Alligator mississippiensis: one gene and its partners. The protein of the gene in region 2 purifies or fractionates together with the protein of the main gene of each other region. This does not show direct contact. Links are inferred from orthologs where the notes say so. Each region holds a gene or a part of one and is shown on either strand. Other genes may lie near its edges. The genes, in order: ELAVL1, STAU1, DHX9 and tubulin alpha-1A chain.

What was found.
Region 1: the proteins of STAU1 (region 2) and ELAVL1 purify together in Homo sapiens (affinity purification with mass spectrometry; 3 studies listed by BioGRID, with this or other methods). This does not show direct contact. The link is inferred for Alligator mississippiensis from reciprocal best matches to the Homo sapiens genes STAU1 and ELAVL1.
Region 3: the proteins of STAU1 (region 2) and DHX9 purify together in Homo sapiens (affinity purification with mass spectrometry; 6 studies listed by BioGRID and IntAct, with this or other methods). This does not show direct contact. The link is inferred for Alligator mississippiensis from reciprocal best matches to the Homo sapiens genes STAU1 and DHX9.
Region 4: the proteins of STAU1 (region 2) and tubulin alpha-1A chain purify together in Homo sapiens (affinity purification with western blotting; 3 studies listed by BioGRID and IntAct, with this or other methods). This does not show direct contact. The link is inferred for Alligator mississippiensis from reciprocal best matches to the Homo sapiens genes STAU1 and TUBA1A.

What each region holds. Positions count from the first base shown.
Region 1 is NC_081839.1:9,483,567-9,491,049, reverse strand, and holds the start of ELAVL1 (ELAV-like protein 1), read right to left. Parts: upstream 3,017-7,483; 5' UTR 2,909-3,016; intron 1-2,908. Other genes in the region: ZFR2 (zinc finger RNA-binding protein 2), read left to right, coding at 6,774-6,829. UniProt on the Homo sapiens protein: RNA-binding protein that binds to the 3'-UTR region of mRNAs and increases their stability.
Region 2 is NC_081832.1:14,183,207-14,190,329, forward strand, and holds the start of STAU1 (double-stranded RNA-binding protein Staufen homolog 1), read right to left. Parts: upstream 3,009-7,123; 5' UTR 2,874-3,008; intron 1-2,873. UniProt on the Homo sapiens protein: Binds double-stranded RNA (regardless of the sequence) and tubulin.
Region 3 is NC_081828.1:53,695,505-53,703,356, reverse strand, and holds the start of DHX9 (ATP-dependent RNA helicase A), read right to left. Parts: upstream 3,014-7,852; 5' UTR 2,934-3,013; exon of another isoform or gene 2,784-2,933; 5' UTR 2,772-2,783; coding exon 2,661-2,771; intron 1-2,660. UniProt on the Homo sapiens protein: Multifunctional ATP-dependent nucleic acid helicase that unwinds DNA and RNA in a 3' to 5' direction and that plays important roles in many processes, such as DNA replication, transcriptional activation, post-transcriptional RNA regulation, mRNA translation and RNA-mediated gene silencing.
Region 4 is NC_081838.1:6,695,821-6,703,705, reverse strand, and holds the start of tubulin alpha-1A chain, read left to right. Parts: upstream 1-4,871; 5' UTR 4,872-4,958; coding exon 4,959-4,961; intron 4,962-5,780; coding exon 5,781-6,003; intron 6,004-6,141; coding exon 6,142-6,290; intron 6,291-7,469; coding exon 7,470-7,885. UniProt on the Homo sapiens protein: Tubulin is the major constituent of microtubules, a cylinder consisting of laterally associated linear protofilaments composed of alpha- and beta-tubulin heterodimers.

The DNA of each region.
Region 1 (7,483 bases), on a different chromosome or scaffold from region 2:
ACATTTAAAGTATCATTCTTATACACTCAGCTTTATTTTTCTACCATGTAAATGCTTATACCACCCCCTCCAGAAAGGTTACAAGAAGGCTGAAACCTCTATCAGTTTCCGGGTCTGACACGTAATCTTTAGCTTAGCAAACAAAGATAACTGCCCTGGAGAAGAATGTTTTTCTTAATTTTGCCAGCAGTGAGACAAATTACAACCAGTTCATTCAGAGTGGAATTAACAACACTAAGGGCCAGGACAAGGGACAGAATGGAAGCTACCATAAATGCCATCCTTACCTCTCCAAAGCTGTTTCAACAGATGAAAGGTCACGGCACTCTCCCCAAATCCCCTCTGAGTAACGAGAGTACATGGGACCAGCTTGGAATTCTGCAATCATGGTCTAAGCCAAGGGTATCAAACTGGTTTGGCTTCCTGGGCCAGATGTGGACCATGGGGTCCTCAGACCCACCTCTGGCAAGAACTGTAATTCCCAGCTGTACAGAGCCAAGAATTGGCTGTTGTCTACACTCTCATTTCAGTAGATCAAGTGCTGTTGATCGGATTTGTAATGTACAGAGAAGGTGACAGCAAGCAAAAGCAGAACAGAATGGAGATGCCAGCTTGTTCAGTCTCTAGAAGATGGCCTGTTAACCACCAGACTGAGTAGAGAGTGGAGCTTCCTAACCCTCTCCTCAGAAGACCAAGGAAAGAAAGGAATTGTAACTTAACCCTTTCTCCTTTTATAAAACAAGGAGGGACCAGAGTCAGTGAACATTATCACAGTCCTAACTTTTACGGTATACCTGAAACAAGTTAAAGGCAATAACTTTTTTAATAGGTTTTGTACACATCAGTTAAATCCAATGATACAACTCTCCCCACATGTACATACATGAGTAGCACCAACACCCTGGTGCTTCTACATACTAAGGTCATGCACCCCTAAGTTCCAAGACACAGGAGAGCTACCCAACTTAAATTTCAGAAAGGAAAAATTTATCTTATCCTGGAATTCCATATGCCAGTAGATTGAAACCCTCAAAGTTAGAGGGAAACTCAGAATGACTTCTATTTTTACAATTTATCTACACTACAAAATGTACATAAACAGCTGTTTCAGAATACCTGCTTTGGGACATTTCCAAGCATGAACAAGCTGTAAAAGTTTTCTATAACTACCAAATAGTCTGAGCCTCAGAGACAATAAAGGTCTCTCAAAACTAAATGTTTGTTTTGATACAACCTTCATTTCAGTCCTACTAACGTGTTATAAGATAGCTTTACCCCAGAAGGCCTTGCACCTGAAATCAGATAGCTACGTAAAAACCATCACCCCTGCGGAAAAAAGAGGGCACAGGCTGGTGAACTTGCTTTCAAGGGACAGGCTTTAAAAGAAAAGGGGCATGGTTCTATAGACGGAGACAAGGTGGTCAGTTTAGCTGCAGAAAGTAAAAGTAACAGAAGGTATAAAAATTCAAAATGAGGGGAGGGGAGAAAAACAAAGCCCCAAAGGAATAAGGCAAGAAGATGGGAAACAAAGTAGATTTAATGTAGCGATGGAAGAGGAAAGGCTGCACAGAGATTTCAATGATGATTATGTGCCTAATTCATGCATTTTATGTGCACGGAGACAGGAAACCACAGATCAGACTCAAAATATAGTTACAGAAAAGGCAAATATATGCAGCAGTAACTAGTGCAGTTGGTGAGAGAAGAGAGAAAAGAACAGGAGACTAAATAAGTTGCTACCACAGGTAAAGGTGAGAAGTGACCAAGATAAGGACAAACCAATAATACAGGCTAAGCTTAAGTTAAAAAAGAAACAACAAGGTCTTGCCAAAAAAAGCAAAAGAGGGTCAGAGGAGTACAGTAAAAGGTCACGCAAAGAACACAATAAAAGTACAACTGTTGGTGCACACAGAAAGGATTATATTTTGAACAGACTGCTGCCATCCCCACACATGGAACGCAGGGCGTACGGACCAATAGCACCAACACCCAAAGCAGTTCAGTTTTAGAGAAACAGCTTGAAATGGCAGTGGGACACCCCAAAACAAAACACCAGAGACAGCCAGGCTAGACAGGGAAATGCCACAGCCACGGCAAGTCTGGTCAGAGAAGCTAGAAGTCGTCAAAACCGGAGCGGACGGAAAGGTGCGAGCGGGCGGCGAGGATGAAGCCGTTTGAAGTCAAAATCAACTCTGCCTAGAAAATCGGAAGCCACCACCCGTTAGGGCAGGTAGATGGAAGAGGAGAAGGAGGGGTGACAAGCCCCAGCACAACCAGTGACCGCCTGTGCCAGCAGCAGCAACACCCGGGAAAACAGGCCGTGCTCGAGTCCGCCGGTGATGCTGTGCTCTGCCGTTTCTTTCTCTCCATTGCGATCCGCGGGGCCTACACGGACATCCCGCCTCCTCCCGCACACGTGCCTCCCCGCCGGTGCCCGGCCCCCCGGCCTCGCACGAGGGAGCCGCGCGCCAGGCTCGCCCGCCCGGACAAACCCCGCCCGGCGCCGCGCCGCGCCGCGCCGCTCTGCTCTGGGCCGGGCCGGGCCGGGCCGGGCCGGGCCGGGCCGGGCCGGGGGCGGCTCAGGGCAGAAGCGCGATGGGGACAAAAAGCAGCGAGTCGCCGCCGCGGCACGGCGCCTTCCCGCGGCGCCCGCGCAAGCGCAGCAGGCCCCAGGCAGGCCTCGGCCGGCCCGCGCCTCGCTCCGCTCCCCGCAGCGCCGGGCCCTGCCGCGCGCCCGCCGCCGCCCCAGGCCCCGGCTCCGCCGCCCCAGGCCCAGGCGCAGGCCGCGCCGCCCGTCGCGTCCCGCTGCTCCCCCAGCGGCGGCGGTGGCAGGCCCGGCCCGGCTGCCCCCGCGCCTCAGCACCGGCCTCCCGCGCGCGCACCCGCCCGGGCCGCCCGCCTGCCTCACCCGTCAGGACTCCGGCGGGGCCTGGAAGCAGCACGAACGGCTCCGCAGCGCACAACAAGCCGCTCGCAGCGCCGCTGGCCACGCCCCCGCCCCGCCCGCCGAGCCCCATTGGCTGCGCGGCCCACGTGCCAGAGGAGCCATTGGAGCGGCCGCCCGCCCGTCACTTGCGGACCGGAGGCGGAACCTCCCGGTGGGGGGGAGGGGGTCCGGAGTCCCCCATCCTCAGTCCTCCCTCCATCCCCGGCGCGGGCGGGCGGAGACTTGCCCCGCGGGGCTTCCTCGCTAGGCCAGGCCGCATCGTTCCCTGGGCTGCGTGCAGCACCCCCGCCGGCCTCGCGGGGCACCAGCGCGCCCGGGAGCCCCTGGTGTCAGCGCTCCGTGGGGGCTGGACGAGGCACCTCTTCCTTGTCCACCTCGTGAGGCAAAGTGCGAGGTGGAGCCGGCGGAACGGCCTTGCAGGCGCCAGGGTTTCTTTCCTGCGGGGCTGGGGTTGGCATCGCGGGAGGTTTGCCCGCAGGGCCTGGAGGGCAGGAGACACGCGTTGTAGTGGTGACGAGCAGCAAGGCCCAGCTTGGGGGTGGTAGTTGGCACCATTCACACTTGTTGGCCCTTCCTCTCTGTCAAACAAAAGGACATTTTTGGCCAGAGATAATCCATGGGCGCCCCAAACAATCCATTTTTCATAGGGGCGGGTTTGTAAAATCCCTTCCACGTCCCTTCCCGTCAAGCATTCAATCCCACTTCCATCTGCAGGGATGGAACGAAACGCCCCTCACTCTCCGTGGCTGCTATTTTCAGCACAATAAGGCAGTACGGGTTGAAATCTAAAAAGGAAAATGCCTGGAAATGCTCTTCCTTGACGTAAAGAAATGGACAGGATAAAACTCAAGATAAAGGACATCAGAAAATGATTTTTTCTTCAATTTTTGTGAGATATTTTTCTTTACAGTAAATGTTACGCAAGCGCAAATGTATGATTCTGTATTTAATAATAATATACGTCGCAGCTGTAAATGTGAGCTAACGCTTTTTGGTGGAATGCAGGTAAATTTGGATCTGCCAAAGGTATACAATTGAGGTGATATGATCACACATACAGATGTGTTTGCTGTCATCCATCCCTGTATCTGTATGTGGACTGCCCATAAATTGTCATTATTTTGGAATACATGAAAAATCAGAAACTGAAAATGCAAATAATTTTCTTCAAGCCATCTTGAGTTTTAATAGATTTCAACTTTATTAATGCCAATGGTTTTGTTTGGCACTTCTGGACTCATGAATACTTAGTTTGCTGGTTGCCCAGTGAATCCTATTCAACTAGTCATGTTCTAATGGCCCGTAAATTTGGGGCTATTCTAATTTCCAGTTTGCGGACATGACACTGGCATTTGGAGCAGCCCCATCTCTGTCACAGGCTGGGGGGACACCTGATCATGTAGAAAGTATTGAGAGGCAGCTTCATACCAGCTTTAGTAAAAAAGACTAACCATTAGGGGAGGGAAGCCATGACATTACATTAGCCTGACTCTTCTTCCTCACGGTTACCTTGGGAAGGCTCCACATGATGTACATTTCAAACCTGGCTGATCCTGATATAGAGGCTTTGTGAAAATACTGAAGATATTTGGACACCTGCCATCGCCTGAATTTGCTGTTTGCCAGCTATCATGTTACAGTTTTCTCACTCATATGATGGCAGCCTTCTGTTATCACCAGTCTTGGGTTTTCTCAAATAATACTGAGTTTAATCCTCACAACTGTCTCTAGAAAGGTCATGGGTGTCTTAAAACCCTTTCAGTCTCCAAAACCCTCTGAGCCCTTGAAGTCCAAACTTCAGCTCAGAGTGAGGCCATACTGAGTCTTTGTCCTGTTTTACCACGTGACATTTTTATGCCATGGCATCACTTCATAACACAAGCATATATTCAGTTGCAGTGCAAGAAAACCGTTGTTGTGTAAAGTTGTGATGATTTGAAGCAGCAGCACTTTTGATTTATGCTTTTTTTAAAGTGTGGTGTTATATTACTGCAGTGTCTTAGATCTGTCATGATGTTTTGATTCAACATACTGACACATCTGTGTAGTGCTTTCATGTTGCATTATGATATGGAATCAAAAAATGTGATGCTCATTGGCACAGTGCTACCATGATGATGCAGTGTGGTGACATTTAGCACATCATAAAACACATTGAGTCTAGTATGTTGGCATATGGAGCATGAATTATTTTTGGTGCAATTAAATCATATTGTATTGATATTTTAAGAAAATTGAGAACATGACTGCTCTCTATAAATACATTATAGGAGAATTTAGGAAGGGAAGGGAGCTGTTTAAGGTAATGGACAAGGTTGGCATAATAACAAATGGGGACAGTGTGGCTTGAATAAATTTAGGCTGGAAATTAGAAGACTTATAAGCATCAGAGTGAGATTCTAGAAGAGCCTTCCAATATGAGTAGTGGAGGCAAAATACCTAACTAGTTTTAAAATGGAGCTTGATGAATGTTGTTGGCAATCCCTTGATTTGAGGATGATCTTTACCACATCTTACTGATGGATCTTGAGTTGACATAAGTGTTCAATCCTTGAGCCACAGATCCGTCCACAGAAGTTGCAGGTCTTTCTGCAGGGCGGAGTTGGATGTACGCTGGGATTTCACTCATTTTCCTTCCCCTGCTCTCTCTCCCGTGCTTTGAGAGCAAGGCGTTTTACCTCAGAATTGGCTGCCACTTGGTTGAGGTTCCAGTGCCATTGGAGTGAGTTGGCACCCAGCTTTTCCCAGCTCTTGATGTTGGCATCTGTTTTCTTGTGGTCTGCCTTGAATGTGTCCTGGTACCATTTCCTCTGGCCACAAGAGCTCAGGCTATAGCTAAACTGGGAGTAGAGCACTTGTTTTGGGAGTCAGGAGTCAGACATCTGCACACATCCAATTCAGCACGGCTGGTGCTTGAGGATCGCCAGCTCGTGGCTGGTAACTGGTTTCAGCAAAAATATTGGTGTTTGTGTGGCTGTCTTCCCATTTGATGTGGAGGATTTTCTTGAGCCTTGATCAACCTATTCATAGGATTATTTGACATGGATGCCTGAACGTAGCCTGGCACTGGAACCAGAAGGTCCTTTCCTTGTCATGTTCCTATGACACTTCAGCAACACCATGACGTTTAAGACTGGGTAATGAGGCTGTAACACTGGAGAGTGAAAGGGGTGTTGGTCGTAGCCGTGTTGGTCTAAGAACATAGGCAGACAAAGTTATTTGGGTAAATTTGGTATTTTTTATAAGCCCAACTGAGTTGGTGTAATAAAAGATACCAGATTTATTCAAAGAAACTTGTCTGTCTTTGGAAAGTGCAGTGCACTGGAAGATGCACACTGGCTTCACATTGAAACGATGCTGGGCAGAGCTCTAGGGCCCTGCTCCATGTTACATGCATTGCACAATTAACGAGTTACTCGCACAGTAAATTTAGACAGGCCACAAGTGCACACTAATTATCATGCAATTAACCAGTTAATCGTGCAATAAATCTGGTCCTCCCACGCATGCAAAAAGTCCTTATCACACCATCAAAATGTCTATCCAGCTGTAGAAAGAGGCAACCAGTCATGAAGCCGCTGCTCGAGAGCTCTCCCGCCGGTTTCTATCGGGTGCGGCGGGGACAGGACAGGCTCCCATGCGGCTGGGCGCGCAGGGACCGCCGCCCGGGGAAGCCGCCAGGGGGCGCCAAGCGGCCGCGTGACGAGCCGGGCTTGCGCCACCGCGCAGGGCCCCACGTGACCACGCTTCCGGCCGCACGCGCGGGGGGCGGGGCCCGCTCGGAGTCACGTGGCCTCGTGCGCTGCCGGGCTGTGAGGACGCCAAGATGGCGGCCAGCAACTACTACAGCTTCCCTCACGGCGCCGCCGGGCCGCAGTACAGGTAACGGGGCCGCGCCCCAGCTCCGCCCCGCTGCTTTGCTCGGGGCCGGCCCGGGTGGCGGGAGGTGGGTGTGGGGCGCAGCGGCGAGCCGCGCGGGGAAGCCCGGGGCGAGATTGACCCGCCCCTGCCGAGCGCCCGTGGCTCCTCGTCCGCCTGCGCCGCTCCCCGCCTCCTCCTCAGAGCCCGGCCGCGGTGCCCGCTTCCTGCTGCCCGCCCGCTGCCTCCGCGGCTCTACTTGTCGTCGTCCTCCCCCTGCCTCCTTCCCCGCCCCTCGGGTGCCCTCCGTCCCGCGCCGGGATGCCTCGGTCCCCGCAGCCGCTGGGGCTCCCGGCTTCTTCCGCACCGAGGCTGGAGGCTACACCTGCCGGATCCCTTCTTCTCCATCATCCCTGGAGAGCGGATTTCGGTGCCTGCGTCATGCTCCAGCACCGTCGGTCCTCTCCGTGTCTCCCTAGGCTTGCTGCCTATGAGGATTTGCTCCCGTGCTCTTCCTGGATTTCTTTGCCCTCCACTACATCCCCCCCAAAAGAATCCTCTGTTTCAGCCCGGGAGCGCACCCTGGCCGCTGTCATCTTGCCTTTTCCAGGGTTCCCTCGGGCTGCATGTTTTATTGCTTTTCTGAATGATGTTTCTCTCCCTTATTCTCCTCCCTCC
Region 2 (7,123 bases):
TATATAATAAAGAGGTCCTATCACCGGGTCTCTTATAAGAAATGTCAGCCACCTTCCAGCCTCAAAGTGGGATGACTTACATGTCAAAACCCTTCTCAGGGATTATACCTGTGAACCTCAATCTCACCTGCGTACTGAATCAAGAGCTACTGAGTTCAAGAAAAAAGTGGGATAGCAGATACACCTGCCTCTTCAGCACCTTCTAACTCGTTAACTTGTGGTTTCTTCATGCTGGCCGTTGTGAATCGTACCCGACTGCCTCGCATCCCTTAGTATAAACATAGGAACCTAACTTAGGGCTGTGGCCTCCACTGTCATGGCCAAGCACCTAAAAGTAACTGATGATATCTGAGCATCACCATCAGGCACAAGTGCCTTTGTGGAGCTAGCACTCACTGACCTGCATGGCATCCTGCAAGATGTCCGAGGCACAACAGGGACCTCTGCGGTTCTAGAGGACCTGAAACCCAGCTACAATACTATAAGCTCCTGCAAAACAAAGGGTGTGGCAATTCATGCCAAAATGCCATTTCTGAATCTATTTGGGGCTTCCATCTCTCATTAACTGAATATCTTAATGGCATGAAAAAACTATTCAATGCTTATCAATGCATAAAGAAATCATATTCGAGTCTGTCAGGGACAATACATCAAACATGCATAAGATGTAGCAGTACGCTACATTTGGGAATTTATCCAACGACCATTTGTCATTATTGCCCATTTCTAACTTCATTGCTGGTGACTGCCTATTATTTTCTCAAGTGTATTTCTTACAAACCAGAGCTAATATGAAACTCCTCCCTTTGTCTCCTAAAAAGCATCCTGACTGTAAAAGAGGATCCTACAATTCTACCCTTTGCTTTAACCCTTACTTCAGGTCCACTTGTGGACTCTTTCACCCCAGTCAATCATCCCAGCATGTTGTCTGCTCAAAAGTTTTCCCTTTCCCACTGCTATTTGGAAAACACATGAGCCTTGTAACTTCCTAGCTGCAGTGAATTTGACAAGTATCCAGGTCCCCTTTCTTCAGGTTGAGGAAGATCAGGCAGTTAAGCAGAAAAAAAAAAGATACAGATTAGAAACATGGTTTTAACAGATATTTAAATAATAAGGACTAATAGTTATGCTTGCTGCCCTTCACTCCTGAGCCTCCCTAATGTTTATGGAAATATGGAATTGTTCTTCCAAAATTAATAATCATTTTTGCAGAGAGGGCTCATTTCCCAATATATCCAATAACCAACCACAGTACAAATCTGCGCTAACGTTAATATCTAGATTAACTTCTATAATGTTAAAGCAAAATAATCACATATTTGCTACAGAAAGGTTTAAACAGTTGCCACAAAAAGGTGCTAGTTCTTTATCTGCCAATTATAGACCAAAATGAGTTACAAAAATGCAAAAACATTTCAGTTGAGCAAGGTTTCATCCTTGGACAAACTTTTAAAAAGGAAATAGGTGTCTCTGACAAGATCTTGATTAGCCAAGGAACATCTCTAAGCTAGTATTTATGAGAGACGCTCAAAATGTATACAGCTGATAATTTACGTGATGCTTCATGAATGCAGATAAGAAGTGAACTCTGCAGGGCAGGAAACACTGTGAATAGGACAAAACCACAAAACAAATCAGGAAAGAAGGTGCAAAGGATTAATGATAAAAAAAAAGCAGCTGACAAAAATTCTAAGTAGATTTTAAGAAGGGCTCTGCAGAACAGAGACCTGGCAGATGAGGATATCAGGTGTTGGAAGCACGCAATACAAGTATGAAACCCAACAGAGGCAACACAATTAAGGCCAAGGATTGAGATAAACACTTAAACGCTACAGTAAAACTTGGGTAGTTGACATCACGACATATTTTAAATTAAATATAGTTTACTTTGCTAAACCACACCACGGTTTGATAATACACTCAAGGCTAACAATTTCAATTAACATAGAAATAAATCGTATGTCTTCTCTCTCGGCCTCATCCACCACAATAATCAACATAAATACTAACACTGACACATCTAAAGGAAAGTTGTCAAGGCAACTACCGAAAGTGCAGTTAAGGGCCAAACGAACTCCTTTTTTAGAATCGTTTGTTCCAGACAGACAAACCATTGTCACGGCTGCTCGATACGCCAGTGAACACGGGGCTTTACAACCGAGATCTCCAAAGGCTGGAATTTTTGTTCCTCCATAATATCAGCGACGTCCCCCACGCTTTTTCGACTGCGCCCCAACCCCGCGGCGACCGCACGGCCGCGGCGCAGATACCGGCCAGTCTGACAGTAGCTCAACTTTGTGGGATAACCACCGAGGTTAAGACACCCAAGCCGGCACGACACACGTCCGGACGGCCTCCCGAACAGGGGGGTGGCTGCTGTAACGCTCCTACGACCCCCGTGAAACGCCACGTGCTAACGGGGGAGCGGAGGAGAAAGTAGAAAACCACAGGGCAGGGGAGGGAGCCGCGCAGCCCCTCTGCCCCCAAAGCAAACAGCGCACCCGACGCACGTGTGGAGTCGGCACCAGCGCACCAACACGGCTCGGCGGCCACCGGAGCCGGTGTCTCTCCACGAAGGCCCCTCAGACGCACGCGGGGAGCAGGGGCCCTGGGGCCAGGCCCGAGGCTCGGCGGGCAGAGGAGCAGGAGCCCCCGGGGCGGCGGGACCTGTTGCTCCCCGGCCTCCCGACGCGTTGGGCGGGGAGGAGCCGAGGGCGCCGGGGAGCGCTGGGGGAGCCCGGGGCCGCCGCGCCCCCCGCCCCGGGCCGAGTCCCGCCGACAGCGCGCGGCCCCGCCCGCCCGCCCGCCCCCCCGCCGGGCCCGGGGCAGCCGCCGCCGCAGCCCCGCTAGGCCCAGAGCCGCCCCCCGCTCACCTGCGACCTGGGCTGCGGCTCCCGGCCGGCGGCGCTGCGGGCGGGCGGGCGGGCGGGCGGCTCAGTCCATGGGCCGGGGCCAGGGCCGGGGCCGGGGCCGGGGGGCGGCTCGCGGTGCGGAGGGAGGCGGCGGGCACAGGGCAAACACTAAAGAGAATGAGCGGGGCCAGCTCCGGCCGGGGAGGAAGTGACGGCACAGCGCCAGGGGGCGCCGGGCAGCCAACCGGGACGGCCGCCGCGGCCCGCCGCCCCGCCCCCCGGGCCAGGCGCAGCCAATCGCGCGGCGGACCGGCTCCGGGCCCCGCCCCCCCTCGGCGGACTACAAGTCCCGGCGTGCCGCGGCGCCCGCATGCCTCCGTTCCACTGCGGGGGCGGGACTACGGCTCCCAGCATGCACTGCAGTCTGCTGGGAGGGCCACGTGCAGCCGCGAGGCTTCGAAGCCTCCCCCAGGGGCCGGGCTGTGGCCTGCGGGCGCCGGCGTGGCGCGAGGCTGCTCCCGCCCGCTCGGGTTGCAGGTGTGCGGCGACTTCCACCGCTGCGGAGCCACGACTCGAGCCTCCGGGAGCGCCGTGGTTGCTGCGCTCCAGCAGCCTCTTGGATCACCACCCGTCGTGGCAGCAGGGGCGTGTGAACTAGTGCTCGCTGGAAACCGTGTTCAAACACGGGCATGCTGATACACGAGACGCGGCGGTGCTCTCATTAAAGCTCCCCGCACAGGTGGACAAGTCTTCTCTTGCAGATGGAGATAAGGATGCTTGTGTGCTCTTCTTCCTGTGTAAAGAGTTTCCCGACAAGAGATCCTCGGGTGTAGGGGGCATCGCTCGCGCTACAGCTTCGGAGCAAGAGCTGTACTTGGGCAAGAGTTGGGATCAAGTTAGACAATTTTTTTTTTAATGCAAAAAGTGATCTGATGAAGAATGCCTTTTGTGGGGAAGCTTGTCTAGCTTTGGATGAGCTGGATCTTAAAAGACACCACCCCCAAAAATCCTTGCCTCTCTGGCAATTCCTGGATGATCGGGACTACAGTGCTTGTATACCTATTTTTAGACTCGCCCCTCTCCATAGATTTGAGGCACCCTTTGGAAAATGCCAGCTTTTAGGTTTTGCTTGTTTCTTGACTACACAAAAAATGCCAGAGCAATCTTGCTGCTGCTAAGAAGTCAGACCACACCAGGGCAAAATGTATTTTTGAACACAACAGATTCATGTTTGAAAACTAGGTTCATCTTGTGAATCATGTTTGCACGCCTAATTGTGCTAACGCTGCGTGGCAGTCTGCAGCGCTCGCTCCTCAAAGGATCTCAAGGTGGCCTAGCTCGGGGGGGTTGCACAGAATCACTGTTCTAACACTACTGTAATTATGCTTTTTGGAATGAAAATGCTCCTGTAGTAAACACTTTATCATCATCATCATCATCATTGAAATTAAGGGCTGGAAGGGACCTTAAAAGATCATCAAGTCCAACCCCTCTGCTCTGGGCAGGAATACTGCTGAGATCAAATGATCCCAGTAAGGTGTCTGCCCAGTCTCTTCTTGAAGACTTCCAAGGTTGGGGACTGCACCACCTCCTTGGGAAGTCCACTCCAGATTCTGGTCCCCTTACTTTAAAGAAGCTCTTCCTTACAGCAGTAAATTTCTTTTCCCCCCTTCCTTTCTGGCTTAGTGGAATAATTTTATTTAAAACACCAGGTTTCTGCTTAGAAATGCATGCATTTTAGTAGCGAATATAGCCTGAAGTAAACAAGAAACGTAACAGTTCAGTTCTGGGAGTTTAACGTAGGGATTTGCTGTGTTTAAGATGATCAAGTAGCAGCTGCTGTGCTGTGTGCTCTCTGAAAAGATCTAGTCTTCAGCGCACACACTCAGAGGTCTTTGCATAGTCTTAGACCTCATTTTTGATGTTCTAGCAAATTCAAATACTGAATAACCAAAGAATCACTCTGAAAGATTAATTTTTCTTTTAAAGCCCATTGAATTCCAAAATGAAAGAAGTGTGATCACACTGAAGATACACACACAAGTTATAAGTACTGCCATTTGTTAGAAAGAGTCAACTGCTGTTGGGTAGATAAAAGACAAAAAAAATACAAGTTGGACACTCAAGTGATGACAGCGGCTTAATGAGACATCCATTTGTGTTTTATACACTCAGAACTTATTTTGTTTAAGTCAAAGGAATCTGAATTTTGGAATGTAAAAATGGTCCAAGCAGCTGTATCTTTGTCTGGTTTGCATATGTGTTTTTAATTTGTATTGGTCTTCAATAGCTGAAAAAAAATCAAAGAAGCTGCCATTAACTAATTGCCACTGACAAACCTTGGCTTGAGTATTTCTTGTAAATTAACATTTAAACCATACCCTCTTGAATTAACCACATGGAATAAATTCAGTCATATTAATTAAATATTAGCTTGCTAGCAGATAAAAAAAGAATTATGAATCTATTGATTTTGCAGATTTTAAGCAGAACATAACTTCTAAACTTCATATTTCTGCATATCAAGGCAAAAATCCATAACCTCAAGTAATTTTACATTTGCTATACTAGATTGAGTCTGGGCACATCCAGACGAGCACACACGTGGTATATGGTGCCGCAGACCCATCTGTGGCACTGGAAACCGCATGTACTACATATGCAGGCATTCACCATGCTGCTAATTTGACATCAGAGATCCTGGTGGTAAAAAACCCACAGCTGAAAAAAGCAGGATGACACGTGTGGTGGCAGTTAGGGAGGGGTGTGTGAAGCAGGCCCTATTTGATTCAGATTCTGATTCAGCCTGAGCTGGGGACAGTGATTCGATTAGTTGATTCAGATCACTGTCCCTGATTTGATTCGGCCAAATCCAAATCTGAAGGTTCAATGCTGATTCAGAGAATCAGGAATTTGGCCATAAACACAGCTTTAAATGTTTTTCTACACACTTCAAGGTACCAGGCGCTGCCTGTGAATGCTGCAATGCTGGGGCACATGGAGCATCCGACAGGAGTGCGTGGGGCCCTCCACATGCTCAGCGGCGAACCTGGAAGTGGACCAGAAGTACTGTAGTCCACTTCTGGGTCCACTAGAGAGTGTGCCAGGGGCCCCCTGCGCCCCCCACCCCCCTGGCTCAGTGATCAGCCACGGGTGGACCCTGGGCACCACCCCCCCTTCCCCGATGACCCTGGAGGCATCAGTCGCCGAGCAGTGGGGGGGGGGCTGTGCGCTCTCCAGTGGACCCAGAAGTGGGTGGAAGTGCTTCTGGTCCACTTCTGGGTCTGCTGCTGAGCACACTGGGACCCCTTCCCCCCGCACTTTGGTGGGACACTCCATGCGCCCCAGCATCTCAGCACTCATGAGCCCCTGCTACCTAGAGGTATGTAGAAAAAACATCTAAAGCTGTGTCTACGTTCGAATCACCAAATCTCTCCAAATTGATTTGGAGGGTTCTGATTGGATTTGGAGAGATTACAGGGTCCTCTGATCCAATTCGAATTCAGAGATTCGGCCAGCAAATCAGGCCAAATCTCCACCGAGTTGAATCAAGGACCAAAGCTTCGCACAGCCTTAGTGGCAGCATGCGCTGCCCGAAACAAGCCTGCCCAGGTGGAGCCACACTCCAGCTGCTGGCCAGGCTCCACATGCTGGATCTCTGCTGCTGGAGCCCTGGGAGGCCCCTAAGACCTGACCCCAGCCTCCCCTACCCCACCTGGGGCAACCTGCCACGCACCACAGTGTGCATGCGTGGACATTCCCTGGAAACAAGTAGCAGCGGCACAACTATGTGATGCTGCTATTTGTCCCCAGGGAAACACGTGTGCGCACTCGTCTGGGCACGCCCTTTGAGACCAGGATCCTTCTTTCAAAGGATATTGCAAAGGTGAAAACTACAACAGCAGCTGACAATTGACCAATTGTTCGTGGAAGTGATGAAAGGTTCCTATGGATGTGTACCAAACAAAAGCAGCTCCATGACACTGAACAAATGTAAAATAGGGATAATTAAGATTTGTAGGAGACAAAGCTTTCCCCAGCCTATAAGCTTTTTCTTTATGGTAGCAAAACCATGGGCTCTTATAGACATGCAGGGAGCTGGCTCTGACATGCTGGAAATCCAGTGGGTCAGAACAGACTCAATCAATTGAGTCTGTGGGAGCAGAGAAATTACCACACTCCAGCAGCCTCTTGCGTCACGTGTATCAGCATCCCTGTGCTGAAAAGTGGCACTGGGGTGCTTTGAACTAAGACTCATTAAATGAGCTTTA
Region 3 (7,852 bases), on a different chromosome or scaffold from region 2:
CCTGGGAGTCTTCAAGAGGAGGTTGGATATGCATCTAGCTGGGGTCATCTAGACCCAGCACTCTTTCCTGCCTATGCAGGGGGTCGGACTCGATGATCTATTGAGGTCCCTTCCAACCCTAACATCTATGAATCTATGAGGCTGGTACAACGCTTCACACCACACAAAGGAAAGAACAGCTTATCTTTACCCACTTCCCAGCAAAACAACAGGGTCACCAAATCCTCTCGTACATCTGACACATACTAGACCTCACTGGTGACTGCTTCTTTCATTACATATATATGGCCGCACACATACATAAGCACTGCCCTTTACTGGGTCAAATCATAGGTCTGTCTTGCCCAGTCTCCCATTTCCCACAGGCCCTTCTGTGAGCAGGAAGAGACATGGCTGTAGCCCCTGTACTGCCTCCTCCAGAACCTCTTGCTGAGGTTCTAGCTGCACTTCTTCCCTCACCTGTTTATTTAAGTGCTCCCTGTCCATGGCCCTACCAAGTCCCAGAACCTCCTGGTCAACCTCCTCCTAGCCCTGGCCGAGCTGGCTGTGTATCTGACAAGGAATGCGGCTCTGGCTGGGAGGGTCCCTGGGGACTGCTTTCCTTGCCCTGCTTTACTCCTGTCTCCAAGCAAAGTATCAGCAGGCAGTGCCTGCTGGCTCCTTGGACTCATTTGAGGGCCAGTGGGTGCTGTTTGGTGTGCTCTGTTCAGTGTCCCCACTCGGCATGTTTGTTTTGAAACTGAGTGGCACTTCCTTCTCTGTTTTTTCATTATTTGCTCCAAGAAATATGCTGTCCGTTTTTCCTGTAGCTTCCCTGCCTAAGGGAAGCCAATGAGAGACTTGGTGGGCTGGGCTCACGTTTTAAAGGGTGACAAATAGGCCTATTTCCCACAGGCCCTTCCGCGAGCTGGGTGAGATGGAGCTACAGCCCTTGTACTGCCTCCTCCAGAATGTCTTACTGAGGTTCTGGCTGCACTTCTCCCCTCACCTGTTTATTTACGCACTCCCCATCCATGGCCCTACCTAGTCCCAGAACCTTCTGGACAACCTTCTTCTGGCCCTGGCCAAACTGACAGTATACCTCACCAGGAAGGGGGCTCTGGCCAGAAGGGTCCTCAGGAACTGTGGAGCCACTTCCCATGCCCTTGTACTTTCCTGTCTCGAGGCAGAGTATCACCAGGCAGCATCCACTGGTTCCCTGGATTTATTCAGGGGCCAGTGGGCACTGCCTGGCATGCTCTGCTCAGGGTCTACCCCTTGGAGCACTTTTAAACCTGAGGCCTCTTTCCCATCCCTGTTTTCACCTCAGCTGTCCCCTGCGCTCAGGTGATGCACCAAGGGGGAGGCCATGGCCCCTGGGCACAGGCCTGGTGGGGTGGTGCTGGCCAGGTCATAGGCAGATTAATGCACGGGCAAACTGGGCACACGTGCCCAGGGGCCCATTCCAATTCGGAGTCCTGGGATCCTCACCAGCAGGGAAGCGAAAGCCACAGTTTAAACTCAGTGCCCATATCTGGCACCAAGTTTAAAACTGCGGTTTTCACGTTTGCTTCCCTGTGAGACGGAAGCAGGGCTCCTCCTCCACCAATAGGGCTGGAGGAGAGGAGGCAGGACTGGGGTCTTGCCTAAAAAGCTGTGCTACATCTGTGGGCTGAGTGGCGCTGTCTGGTAGGGAGAGGGCTGGGCTGGGCGAGTCACGCCTTACCTGGAGCGGGGTGGGCTGGGCAGTTGGAACCAGGCCAGCCAGGCCAGGAGCACCCTGCCACATTGCACCTCTGTGGGCCATGGCACTGGGAGGGCCTTGGGGGTTAGAAACCCCCAAAATTCAAGTTGGCTCCTCTCTGTGTCTGAACTACTCCCCCACAGGGCCACTGCCTGCCTGCAGAGACATGGTGTGGTGACCGTGCTCCCCACCGGGTCCAGTCCAGCTTGGCCCTCTGCATCTGCAGGGCTGCTCGGGACAGCCAAGCAGCAGCTCCATGCACATAAGTGTAAAGGGGGCTCGGAGGGGGAGTGAAACTGAGCCGTGGACAGCTCCAGGGAGAGGGCAGACAGCTGTGTGTGTGCATGATATCTTTTGGGGGGGGGCTTGCTTCCGTACAGGGGTGTGTGTGTGATATCTTTTATTGGGGGGGGGTGTTGCTTCCAGTACAGCTGTATGTGTGTGTGATTATCTTTTACTGGGGGGGGCTTGCTTCCAGTACAGGGCTGTGTGATATCTTTGGGGCGGGGGGGGGGGGGCTTGCTTGTGGTACAGGTTGTGTGTGTGTGCACGATATCTTTTATTGGGGGGCTTGCTTCCGGCACAGGGGGTGGGCGGGTGGGTGTGGGCTCTGCCATAGGCTGCTAGGGGACCCCTCCCTCCCGTTCTGCGACGGAGGTGGGGGCGCAAATGTAAGCATGGGGCCCCAGGTGCCAGAGACCCTCGGTACGCCACTGAACTTGTCTGTGGGACTGCGCTCCAATGCCCGGCCTACACCACCACGGGTGCGTCTTTCCTCACACAGCCCCTGCACTTCCCCGGGAGCCCGGCTACCTGCCCCGCGGCAGCCCCGCCCACACCCAGGCCCCACTCTCCCCTCAAAGCCCCGCCCCCACAGCGCGCGGGAGCAGCAGCAGCAGCAGCAGCAGCCGCCGCACGACGCCCCGCCCCGCCGCACCTCGCACTGGAACTTCTGCCGGTTCTTGTTGCCAGCGGCGCGGATCTCGTAGGCCGGCGTCACCTTCCTCTTGCCACACCAGGCGTACAGGAAGTTCTTCACGTCCCCCATGGCGGGGCCGCCCTGCGGGCACACGCGACAGTTAGCAGCTGCCACAGCAGCGCGCCCCTCCCAGCCCTCGCAAAGGCAGCTTCCAGGTGGGACGGAGCCCGGCGGCGACTGCGCACTAGCACCGCCCCATTCCGCCCGGAGCTACGCTTTGCAGCCGCTGACCTGCGTCGTTATTTCCCAGCCCGGCCGCTGTCACAGGTGAGACGCGCGGCCCACCGACCCCCGCAAAATGGCGCCCGCTGGACGCATGCGCACTGAGCAGAGTGGTGGAGCCGGCCCGAGGGGCGGGGCGGGGCAGCGCCCCCAGCGGCCGGGGGCCTGCGTGACTCGCAGCTAGCGCCGGGTCCACCACGCACTAGTCAGCACAGAAACGCTTACCCTGTTTTTGGAGGGTGCTAGTAAGCGTTCGCCAGCAGAGTCCTTGGGACAACTAAAGCAAACAGACAAGAGCGAGGGTCATAGACTAACAGCGAGTGCTCTGTGGGGGGACACGGAGCAGCATGCACCACCCAGCACCCACTGGCTCTCCAACGAATCCAAGGAGCTGGTGAAACTGCCTGGAGATGTGCATGGATGAGGGACAGAAAGATGGCCCCCCCAGTCACCAGGGGTCCTCCTGGCTGCATCTTTCTTCCTGGGCAGATAGATGGCCAGCTCACCTATCTATGCAGGAGGCCCCTGCGAGGACAGGAGCACTCGCGTCATGCAGATTCCATAAGGGCCAGAGATAAACCACTGGGAGTGAAGGGTCTTTATATTAGCCTGTTTAAAGCTCTTGCTGCTTTAACTCCAATGAGTAAGCAAATAAAGTAAGCCTCTGCTAAAGACTCAACATGCATCTGTCATACAGGGGGTAGGGCTCACAATAACTGTACTGTGAGAGCTTCCAGCTAGTGTTGGAGCAAGGCCTAGGAAGAGCAGATGTACATTGTTGATTTTGTAAAATTAAAAAAAAAATTAAGGAATTTAAAATCTAAAAAAATAAAACTTGAGGTTTTCCTTGTACATCAAAGTAGCCAAAAAAGGGGACAGCTCAGCTGTTAAATAGGCATTGGTCACTTTTACATGATGCAAAAACAAAACCAAGTGTTACAGCTGTATGTAATCATACTGTCTAGGAGTGCCAGGACTGAGACTACAGGCAGATGAAGAGGTGCAGGGGAATGCACTAGGGGGCACAGAAGCTGTGCCATGACTTACTACGCAGAGACCACATTAGCCAGGACAAGTTAAAGTGCTGCTCTAGCTTGTACTAGGAGCTGGACTAGAAACGGAAGAAGTATGAAAAGTAGTTGTGAATAAGTTACTATTGCCGCCTTACCCTTCTGCTGCTCCAGGAGTGTCAAACATACTATAGCCCACAAGCCAAATCTGGCCTGGAGACCTTTTCCTGGTAACACGCAAATGCCTGGGCAGGACCCATGGCATTGGAGTCCCAGCAGTATCATAGCTTGTTCCCATGGCAGGTCGCTGGGCCTCTTCCTTCCAGGCCCCAGACTGGCTGGAGTGAGCACCATGGGTGCTAGGATCTGGCATGTAGGGGAGGGTCCGTGGGCTTGATCTGGCCTGTGTGGCCATCCCCATGCAGTTCAGCTAGTCTGTGGGTTGGTTGTGCATCAATCGCTTGGCCTGAAAGACCAGATGTATTTGACACCACTGTGCTACCCGAAGCTGAGATAAAAAGTTGGTGTGGTTTAAGGTAATGCAATTGGGTGGTTAGCAGAATTATACCCAGAACAAAGTTGGGTTTTATTATAAACCAGGGAACATAAGAAAAGCTGGGACTTGCTTCCTAAGCTTAGATTTCTCATTTTCTTGCACAGAGTAAAAGTCCTGTGAAAGTCCAGTGTCAATTTTCAGTCAATTCTGCAAAGTCTTGAGCACTCAACACCTGGATCCAAAGTAATACTGTATATAGTTAACTTCAAGTATCTGAATAGTCCTTTTTTAGTCGAAGTGACCATCTCATTTTAAAGTGGAGTATGTGCTTAAGGGCTTATTTGATCCCAATCCAGGAAACTCAGCACCTGGAAGGCCAGGATCCATATAGAGAAGGGGAAATAACCACAAAAAAACCAACATTTGAGAGAACAGAACTTAAATATACTAATGCTAACTTTAGTTTTCCAGCACAATGGCACATGCAAACCATTCTGGCTAACCATATTAGCCTCACTATGCAAGGAACACACAGTAGTTTATCTAGATAGCTAGGCATTTTAGAGAACTAAACAACAATAGTAACACCCTTGCTATTAAAGAAGAGACAGAGATAGATAGGAAGGCTGCTATGCTAAAAGGAACAATTAATGGAAACTACTTTTGACTCTTTGCCATTTTTAGGTAAAAAAATAAAAGTGTATCCTGGATATACAATTCCTGGCTGTGCCTCTCATACTGTATTTCTGGTTGGATTGATTTTAGATGCTCAGGCATAAAATTACCAATTCTTTTGTGTTTTGTGTAGGGTTTTTTGGTCAAAATTGAAGATGAAGGGGCAAAAACAGAACCAGGGCAGCTTGGGTTGGCAAGCCCTAGCACCAGCCACTAGGATGTATTAAGCAGAGGTAAACACAATTTAGGATTTCAATCCGGCAGGAAAAGTTTCAATATCTTAACATTTGTTTTCATCCCAAATTGCAACAAAAGTAAAAACAATTACTAACTTCTTTAAAAAAGAAAGAAATCAATTCCCAGTAGAGTGGCACCTGCCCCTCTACTGCCTCACAAAGGGCATTTTTCCAAAGCAGAAAGAAAACAGTGATGCAACTATTTTTAAGAATGTGTTTATGATCCCCAGAACCCACAGAAATATAATCAAAATGTTACACAAAAAAGTTCATGAAGAAACCCAGTTTAATAATTTGGTAGCTTTGTTGATTATCAAAACAAATAGAAGTTACTCATTTGAAGATCACATATTTAGATAGGTTATTTCTATATTACCTATTATTTAAAAAGTGTCTTGTTTTGTAAACATCATTAGAACAGCAGTAACAAGATTTCATTCTCATTAGAAATAATCCTAAAAGTAACAAAATAAAAGCCTTGGGGAAAACATTCTAGAAATTTTCCTAGAATAGCTCTGGCTGGGAGTGTACATGGGCATACTTCTACCTAGAACCCTGGAAGGCTGGCGCTCTGCAGTCTCTCTCAAAGGAATGGTAGCACAAGAACTCGGTGCAGATGCACATACTCATTGGCTGATGGGGAGATCATCTCCCTTTCCATGTCTGACTGAAAAGAAAGCTTATTTAAATTTCTTATACATCTTTGGAAAAGTCTAGTCAACCATCTAACTCTACCTTGGCTTCTAAGTTTGTGTTCTGCAATTAGAAAGCAAGACTTACACCCAAAGAAGACCAAGTCAAGGAAATGTGAAAAATGCTGCCAGAATTCTTGTACACAGAGATGGATAGCACTTTACATTAAACTTTACCATAGTGCTTTATCATAGTATACATAACTACGCAAGGTAAAAGGCAGTGGAGAATTAGGTCCAGTATGTATAATGGAACTCCTTAACCTTAAAATACATGACATTCTCAAAAAAACTTAGTGGTAGTGCTCTCTACTGCTTTATAGAAACCCCTGGGTCAATTCCTGCTGCAACTCCATGGCTGCTTTGGCTAGTATGTACTGGAAGAAAGGAAGAGGGCAGCATATTCAATCATTAGAGCAGGGGTAGGCAATAGGCATGTGCAAAGCAGCAAGTATTCACTTGAATTCAGATTCAGCTGATTCGGAGGGACAGTGATTCGGATTCAGAGATTCGATGCTGATTCAGAGATTCGGCCGTAGACTATGTGGCCAGGTGGGATTGACTAACAAAATCTCCCTCCCTGCAACTCACCTCCCATGCCTTGATGTAAATGGGAAAATAAGAAGTTAATTCCCCAGCAAAAGAGGGCATAGTAATTCACCTCAGAAGCAGCATAAAAGTAAATTGGTTTATTAGTGAATTCCCAGCAGGATCTGGGTAATCCCAGCCATTATCACAGCCTGCAGTCTTCCTTCTCCCTTCACCACAGTGCAACCCACTCCCCCTAAGCCTGTCAGCTCACCTCCAGTTTCTCTCTCTCTCTTTCCCTTGTAGGCAGAGACATCCCTAGGGGTGTGCGGGGCTGGGGGGTGGTAAGTAGGAGGTTGGGGGGGAGTGGGGGGTGGCCAGCAGCTGAAGCAGGGGGATGGTGGTGTGCAGCTGCCATGGCGGAGCTGGCAGTGCACAGCAACTGCAGCAGGCACTGTCTGCAGGGCCCTCCAAAGTGCAGGGCCTGGGGCAATCTCCCCAATTTGTGCGCCCCCCCCCTCCAGGGACAACCCTGCTTGCAGGTATCAGTGGATTCTTCCTCCGTGGGACTGTCTCTCCACCTGAGGATCCACCTGGTAAACGTCTCCCCTCTCTCACCTCTTTGTTTTGCTGGCTGCCATGGTTACCTTCACCTGGTCAGCCGGTCTAATCAGCAATCTGCTCCAGCACTGGGTTTGCTGCTCCTGGCTTTCCCCACAGATTCTTCTCATGCTCTGCCCCAGGGGGAAAAGAATAGCCCTCTGGCTGTGGTCTTTAGTAGTTGCTGGCCCTTAATCAGGTGAAATACCTCTCTGATGCGATCCCTCTCCCAACTGTGTCTATTAAGTAATTATCCTTGCCCTGTCCCTGACCCAACTTCCCCCTGTACTCGCAACTCTGTAGCAACAAAGGAATTGGGCTATTCCTTGCTCTGTTAGACTATAATGGGAAATCACTAAAATACCTATAACTTTGTAATTATTTTACATATTTGGATGAAAACAGCAGGGATGCTAGCAGCTCTTAGGGCACGGAGCCTGCCAAGTTTCAAGGAGATAGGTGCAAGGGTATCTGTGAAAGTGCACCTCAAAACTGTTGAAAGCAAAACTCATATCACAAAAACTGCAAGCCTTCCAAATCTCCAAATCTCGCCAATACAATTTGGACCTTTTAATGGGCCTCCCGATTCGATTCAGATTTGGAGATTCGGCTGCCAAATCGGGCCGAATCAAATCAGTTACTGAAGCTTCACACAGCCCTAGTAGGCAACCTCTTCCAGCTGCAGGCTAGA
Region 4 (7,885 bases), on a different chromosome or scaffold from region 2:
AGACAGAGCCAGGGCCCAGCTCTACCCTAGGGGAGCTGGTCACTCAGGGACTTGCCCCAGAACTAACTTTGGCCCTCAGCATCTCCCTGCTGTGTCCATGCAGGGCCTTACCCTGGAGTGGCTGCTCTGGATTAGTGCTAGCATGAGCGTGTGCCTGGACACCACCCTGGCCCTGAGGCCCCGTGTCCCTGTGCCAGCCTGCGCTGTGTGACCGGGGTGAGATGCCCCAGAGCCACAGGGAATGGGTTTCCTGCTCCCTCAGCCCTATGGCAGCCAGAAAGGAGGCCTTCCCAGTGAGCCCCGCTATGCCCAGCTCTTTTCCACCCAGGAAGGGGGTCACTGAAGCCCAGGAGGGAGCAGGCTCTTCCCACCTCCCCACCCGGTCCCTAGCCTGCAGCTGGAAACCCCCCCACCAAGGCAGGCAGCCAGGCTCAGCTCAGACCACAGGCTCCAGCTGTCTTGGGGAGAAGGGCAGGGGATGGCCAGGGAAGGGCCAGCTGAAGAACCAGGGCCAGCTGAGCCACCAGGCTCCTCCCTCCGTGCCATGGGCGTCCGCGCCTGCCGCAGCCGGGGAAGGGGGAGAGGCAGGAGGAGGAGAGACAAAGAGCGGAGAGTGCTGCGCTGGCAGGCGGAGCCCATCTCCCTGCCCCCTCCAGCTCCCGGCATGGGAACCAGCCTGGAGGGGCCCTCGGTCACCCCCCATCAGCAGGCCCCCCCCTCGCATTGGCGCACCAGGACGGGGCTGTCTGTGCCAGGGCCCCACCCTGTTTCTCTCCTGCCTCCTGGGGGGACCCAGGGGTCATCCTCAGCTGAGCCTTGGTGGAGGCTGAACGCGGACAGGATGCACGTATCCAGAATGCCCTGCACCCACTGCTGTCCTGCCAGCCCCACCCTGCTCATCTGCCGTCCATGTGCTTGCGCGTGCTTTGAACACGCCGGGCCGCCTTCCCAGCCGTGCCGCAGCTTGCTGAGCCGCTCCACGCGTGTTTGCAGCGGTGGGGCGTGGTGCTGGTGTAGTGAGGCCAGAGTCCTTCCCTCCCCAGGGTCATCCCAGCTGCATCCCAGGGACGCTCCCACGCTCCCCTCCTCTCTGTCCTGCCATCTCCTCCCCGCCAAGGCAGTCCTGGCACCGTAACAGCTCCAGCTGCTCCCAGGCTGGCCGGCTCTCATGCTCCTTCTATGGGAGGGGAAGCAGAGAAGGGCAATTACTGAGGCACATCCAGGCCAAGCCCCTTGCCGGCCCCTGTCCAGGCTGCAGGCTTCCCTGATGCACTCAGCACCCTGCTGCTGCAGCCCTTTGAGCTGGGAGGAGACAGGACAAGGAGGGCCCACAGCACAGGGGTCCTCTGGATGGCAGGAGGGAGGGCAGGGGGTGCCCCACCTGGGACAGATGAGATGCAGACCCCCAGGACTGAGAGACAATCCCCTCTCCTGCATGGCGTTTTGTGCTGCTGCAGCCCCCAGACAGGCAGCTGATGGCCCAGGCTGCCTCCCCGCCCCCACGCCGGAGAGGGAAGCCATGTGTCCTTCCGGCCGGTCGGCAGCTGGGACGCCCATCTGGTGCCAGGGTCCAGAGCCTGTATGCGCTGGGGGAGAAATTCCTCCCCCCAGGGCTTGGAAAGGCACAAAGGATTGCTGCAAAGGGGATCGCCCATCTGTGCCTAGCCAGGGAAGTTGCTTGCTGGGCTGGGCTTGTCCAAGCCCAGATTCCTGGGTCCTCAGGCTGCAGCAGGCAAAGCCAGGACCCCCTTTCTCCATCTGTCCTTGGGCATTCCTGTGGTTAGGGGCAAAGTGGGGGGTCAGACCTGCACCCGCAGGGGACCAAGACAGGGGCGCACAGGGCACCCTGCACTCAGCTCCTGGGGGTCCCCGGGGCCCAGCTCCGCCCCCACCCTCCCAATGCTGCTTGTTTGGCTGCCTCATGGCCGTTGGAAGGGGCTGGCTCTCAACCGCCGGATGCCTCCTCCCCTGCCCGGGATCGCTGTGCGAGGCCTGGCTACCGGCAAACACAGCCGGGGAGGCCCAGCAACAGTCTCCTAGAGCTGCCTCGTTGCTACCAACAATCAACAGAGGCTGGTGCAGGAGAGGCCACCCCACAGCCAGGGACCGAGTGGTGGGGAGCAGCTCTGGTGTAGTGAGTGTCCCGGGCAGCAGCCTGCAGGATGGGGCTGTGCTGAGCACCCCCGCCAGGGCCTCAGTCCCTTCCTAGCTGAGAGTGGCCCTGCCCAGCCCCTGGAGCTGCTCTACCCTGGGCCTGAAGCTTGAGGCCGTCACTGGCAGCTCCTGTGGGCAGGGGGACCACGGACACAGGGCTGACACCCATGCTCAGGCGTGGGCAGCAGGACCCTGGCAGGACGACGCAGGGCTGACATGCATGCCTGGGCGCGGGGCAGTGGTGGATTAGCACAGCTTTGCAGCCCTGAGTGTCTCGCCCTGTCGGCCTGCCCCACTCCTCTTGCCCCAGGGAACCAGGAAGGGACCCCGTCACCTTCCAGGGTCCCCTCTCTGCCCCACCGTCCCCTACCCCCTCCCTCCCTGGCGCAGCAGGCAGCGGCTTTCCGCAGGCCACGTGATGGGCAAGGTGATAAAGGAAGAGCGAATGCCACCAGGGCCTCCTGTTCCAGCTCTTAGCAACCAGCTCGTTGCCTAGCAGCGGTTGGGGGGGAAGGACTCTGCCTCGCATACCTAATGAGGCTGTGAGCCTAGAGCCACAGAGACCCTCCATGGATCTCCAGAGCCTCTGGCTCCATCCCGCACCCGCCCCTTGGGGCTTGGACCTATGATGCAGGCTCTATATTCAGCCTCATGCCCCCCCCGATGATGAACAAGGGGTATGGTCTCTGCAGGGGGAAACTGAGGCATGCAGTGGTGACCTCACTCCTGCCACATCATGGTGCAAGGGCAGGGCAGGGTTTGGATGCAGGTGTCCGAGTCCCCTGCTCTGACCTCTGCTTTTTCCTTCCTCCCAGAGCAGGAGTCCAGCTGCCCAGGCCCCTTCCCGTGGGGGAAACCAGGGCCAGCCACAGCCACCATCCCCCAGGGGCTTCGCCCAAGGGTGACAGGAGGGGCTGGGGACAGGCAGCTGCGGAGGGTAGGGGGGTCAGTGTGGACCCTGGCTCGGGGCCCCAGCCAGGCCCGGCCTTGACTCCTGCTTCCAGCACTTCTCAGCTCTGTGCCTTCCCCCTCTTCCAAACACCCCTTGTCCAATTGCTGATGGCAATGCCCAGGCTGGGACCTTGGCAGGCATCCGCTGCCCCCAGCAGGATGTGACCCTGGGAGCAGATGGGACCAACGATCAGGATGCGAGTATCCAAAGCAGAGCGTACGAGGGTGAAAACAAAGCTGGAGCCGTTTCCTGCCCCATGCAGGCAGCTGGAGGAGGGGGCTGGTGCCTGCAGAGCTGAGCTCCCGACCTGTCCCTGCCCCCTCTTAAGAGGGCATGGAGCATCCAGGGGCCCCATGCTCAGGCCGGGGCAGCACTGCTCCAAGTCCTTCTCTCTGCCCCTGTGCCCAGGCAGGGAGGCAGGGGCTGGGTACAGGCTAGGGGCTGCCTCCACATACTCCAGCGGGGCTAGACAGAGCCAAAAGCCCCACCTGGTCACAGGGCTCGGGCCAATTCCTGCCTCTGGCTCCCTTGTCCCAGCCGTGTCCTCAGCACAGCTCCATGGCACAGGATGTCTGACCCAGCTGAAGCCTTGAAGGAGCTGTCCGGGGCCTCATTCCTTGGTGCCCGGATCCCGGTATCTCAGCAGCTTCACAGTGGATGGGAGATGGGGTTAGGGCTGAGTCCAGGTCTTCCTCAGCCCTCAGTTCTGGGACAAAGGAGCCCAGGCTTTGTGTGCTTGCAGCTGGAGAGCACTGGGGACAGACACCTCTGGGGTGCCAGAGCCCAGGAATAACCTGGGGGGTGGGAACCGAAGGGAGCTCGGGACTAGCAGGGAGGGGCCCGGAGTGGAAGGCAAAGTGCCAGTGCTGGGAGCAGCCAGGGCAGGGAATGGGGTCTGGGGGCCACGCCCAGGACAATGGGGCTCTTCTCCTGGCTCTGCCCAGGCAGAAAATGGGGCCTGGGGGCTGCACCCAGGACAAAGGGAACCATCCCCTGGCTCAGCCCAGGCAGAAAATGGGGTCTGGGGGCCATGCCCAGGACAAAGGGGACCATCCCTTGGCTCAGCCCAGGCAGAAAATGGGGTCTGGAGGCTGCTCAGGACAGAAAATCTGGTCTGGGGGCCACGCCCAGGACAAAGGGGACCATCCCCTGGCTCAGCCCAGGCAGGAAACGGGGTCTGGGGGCTGCTCAGGACAGAAAATCTGGTCTGGGGGCTGCGCCCAGGACAAAGGGGACCATCCCCTGGCTCAGCCCAGGCAGGAAATGGGGTCTGGGAGCCGTGCCCAGGATAAAGGGCCCTTCCCCTGGCTCAGCCCAGCTGCTCCCTGCTCCCCCCAGCCCCTGTCGGCAGCTGCGGTGCAGGGCGTGGTGGTGCCCCGGATCCCGCAGGCAGGGGCAAGGGGGGGGCACAGCCGCTGCACAGCGGGTACCAAGCCCCCCCACCCCTTCTCCCGCACAAAGGAGCCCTGCCCCCCGGCTCTGGAGCAGGTGGGTTTCCAGCCCGGGCCGGGGGGGCTCACAGAGCTGTCCGAGGGCAGCCCCCGACGTGCGGGCGGGGTGCGGATGCGGGGCACGGCCCCGCCCGCTGCCTTTGTCTGAGGATGCCCCCGGCTCCGGGATGCTGGGGGGGGGGGATGACCTCATCCCATCCGCCGCGCACCAATCAGCGCCGCCCTCCCCGGGCGGCCCGCGGCGGCTGGACCAACCGCAGAAGCCCCCGCCCGTCCCCATGGCGACGGGGATGTATATAGGCGCGGGGCGGGGGCCGCGCCACGAGTTCTCTTACATCGACCCCATAAGAGTCGCGCTGTAAGAAGCCGCCTCCTCTCCCGGCCTCTTCGCCAGCAGCAGCATGGTAAGGGCCGGCAGGTCCCCCCGGCTCCGCGCTGCGCCGGACCGGTCCCAGCTGCCGCCCCCGTCCCGTGCCCCGGGCGCTCCGGTCCGTGCGGGGGAGCCGCGCCCTTGCCTGGACGGGGCGGCCGCAGCCCCAGATGCGGGGCAGGGGGGCGCGGGTCCACAAAGCCCCGAGGCGGGGCCGGGAGCGGCGCCGGGCTGGTCCTTTGTTCCATTGATGCGCGGCGGGAGGGAGCTGGCGAGGCCGCCGATGAGATCATGCTGGAAGCGGCCGGAGCCAGCGCAGCCGCGGGCGGGGCCGGGCGAGGGCTGCCTGGGCCCGCACGGGGGTGGCGTCGGGGAGGGGGCGAGGGGCAGCGCGTGGGGAGAGCCGGGAGAACCCAGCTGGTTCTCGGAGGGGCTGAGCGGGGGGCTCCCAGCTGCTCCCGCTGGGACCCGGAAGAACAATGGGGCGGGCGATGCTGAGCTGCAGGGTGACACCCCGCCATGGGTCCTGGGGGAGAGCTGGGTGTGGCCGCACCCGCGGGTGACAGTCCCCTGGCACCTCCCCGGTGGGGCCCCCCACCCTGTTGGCAGTGCTGGGGGACTGGCTCCTTGCAAGACGCTCCCCAGCAATGGCTGCGCTGGCTGCATGCCCTGCAAAGGCTGCCGCTAGCTTGGTCTGTGCCACGCCCACATGCGACGGGGACCATGATGGCTCCCACGTTGGGGCGCTGCAAGGGCAGAGGCGGGTGTGAAGCAGAAAGCTCCAACCGCAGCGTGGACCCAGTGCATGCCGCTGCCAGGCTAATGGCTTCTCTTCTCCGGCTTTTCTCCGCAGCGCGAGTGCATCTCCATCCACGTGGGCCAGGCCGGCGTCCAGATTGGCAATGCCTGCTGGGAGCTGTACTGCCTGGAGCATGGCATCCAGCCCGATGGGCAGATGCCCAGTGACAAGACGATTGGTGGGGGTGACGACTCCTTCAACACCTTCTTCAGCGAGACCGGAGCTGGCAAGCATGTGCCCAGGGCTGTCTTTGTGGACCTGGAGCCCACCGTCATAGGTGAGTGTGCAGCCCCCACCCCAGACATACACAGGCTTCCCCATCTTCCTGTGCTCAGGTGAGCCCCTGCATGAGGCCCGTGCCTGGGCAGGGACATGCGGCACTCTGCTCATGGGCTCCTGCCTCCCCTCTCCCCAGATGAAGTGCGCACTGGCACCTACCGCCAGCTCTTCCACCCTGAGCAGCTGATCACAGGCAAGGAGGATGCCGCCAACAACTATGCCCGTGGGCACTACACCATCGGCAAGGAAATCATCGACCTGGTGCTGGACCGCATCCGCAAGCTGGTATGCATCAGTTCTCTTGCAGGGGGGTTAGGCAGGGGCAAGGACAAGGGAGTCTTATGGATGACGGGGCGCATGTGTGCGTGCACGTATATGTATATATTTAATCTCCAGTCTCTCTTACTTTATGTTTCTTTCTTGGTTCTCTTCCCAGCAGGCTCCTTTCCCACTGGCTGGTCCAAGGCTGTTAACCAAACACACGCACTAGCTATAAAGTCTATAGCCCAACATGCACTTATGTAGATTTCTTTCTTTAATATTCATAATAAAATTTAGCAAACAAGCTGAGGATCATTTGCCTTTTCCTATTATTATTATTATTATTATTATTATTATTATTTCTGATTTGGGCCAAGCTACATTTAGATGGAAAGTGATATTCAATTTAAAAATGACAGGGAAGGCATTTTGAAATGGTATTGGCTAAGAAAACTGCCTTCCGTAGTCTGGATCCATGAGAAGAAGCTGCCTTTTTTTCAAGAATATATTTTTAAAATACTATTTATTTAACAAAGGAAGTGTTATGTGGAGTTTGAATCCAGTTACAATGGAAGGCATTTATAATTAGTAACTCTACTCCCTAGACCACATTAATTCATAGATTAGGAGCTGTATAAGCAGGAAAGCTAGTTCTTTTGTTTAAATCCTGAATAGGTCAGAGAAGCAACTTGCTGTACTGAGTGCACTGAAACTGCCTCTGTCTGTGCAGAAGAGGCAGCTGCTGTTACAAGCTGGGTTAGACCCATCACATTCCTGTCCCAGGGATGTCCACCAGTTCCCTAAGGTGACCTTCTCGCACTTTGGCTGCTGAAGCACCAAGTCTTTCAAATGGGAAAGGAGGGCCTAGCAGCGCTCCAAATGTCATTCAACATGCACCTCTGACAACCGTGTTTGCCTACAATTATAGCATTCTCTGTACTTATTTAAAATGACCTTATCAGCCCTGGCAGCTAATGCGTGGCCACATTTCTTATTCTATGGCAAATAAACTCCGGCAGCGTAGAGCAGTGTCCCAGGTGGGTGGGTTGAGCTGGGAACACTGCAGAGTAAGAGGAAGAATTTTTTAGGCAAGGAAAGAAGAGAACTCGCATTCCTGCCTTCCTGCTCCTTGGAAACCAACTTCTTCCAACAGGACAGCTGGATAATGGAGCTATTGTTTCCTTTGTCTCTCCTCTCCGACAGGCTGACCAGTGCACCGGGCTCCAGGGCTTCCTGGTCTTCCACAGCTTCGGGGGAGGCACCGGCTCCGGCTTCACCTCCCTGCTGATGGAGCGCCTGTCTGTGGACTACGGCAAGAAGTCCAAGCTGGAGTTCTCCATCTACCCGGCCCCGCAGGTCTCCACAGCTGTGGTGGAGCCCTACAACTCCATCCTGACCACCCACACCACGCTGGAGCACTCGGACTGTGCCTTCATGGTGGACAACGAGGCCATCTACGACATCTGCCGCCGCAACCTGGACATCGAGCGCCCCACCTACACCAACCTGAACAGGCTGATTGGCCAGATCGTGTCGTCCATCACCGCCTCGCTGCGCTTCGACGGGGCCCTGAACGTAGATCTGACGGAGTTCCAGACCAACCTGGTGCCCTACCCCCG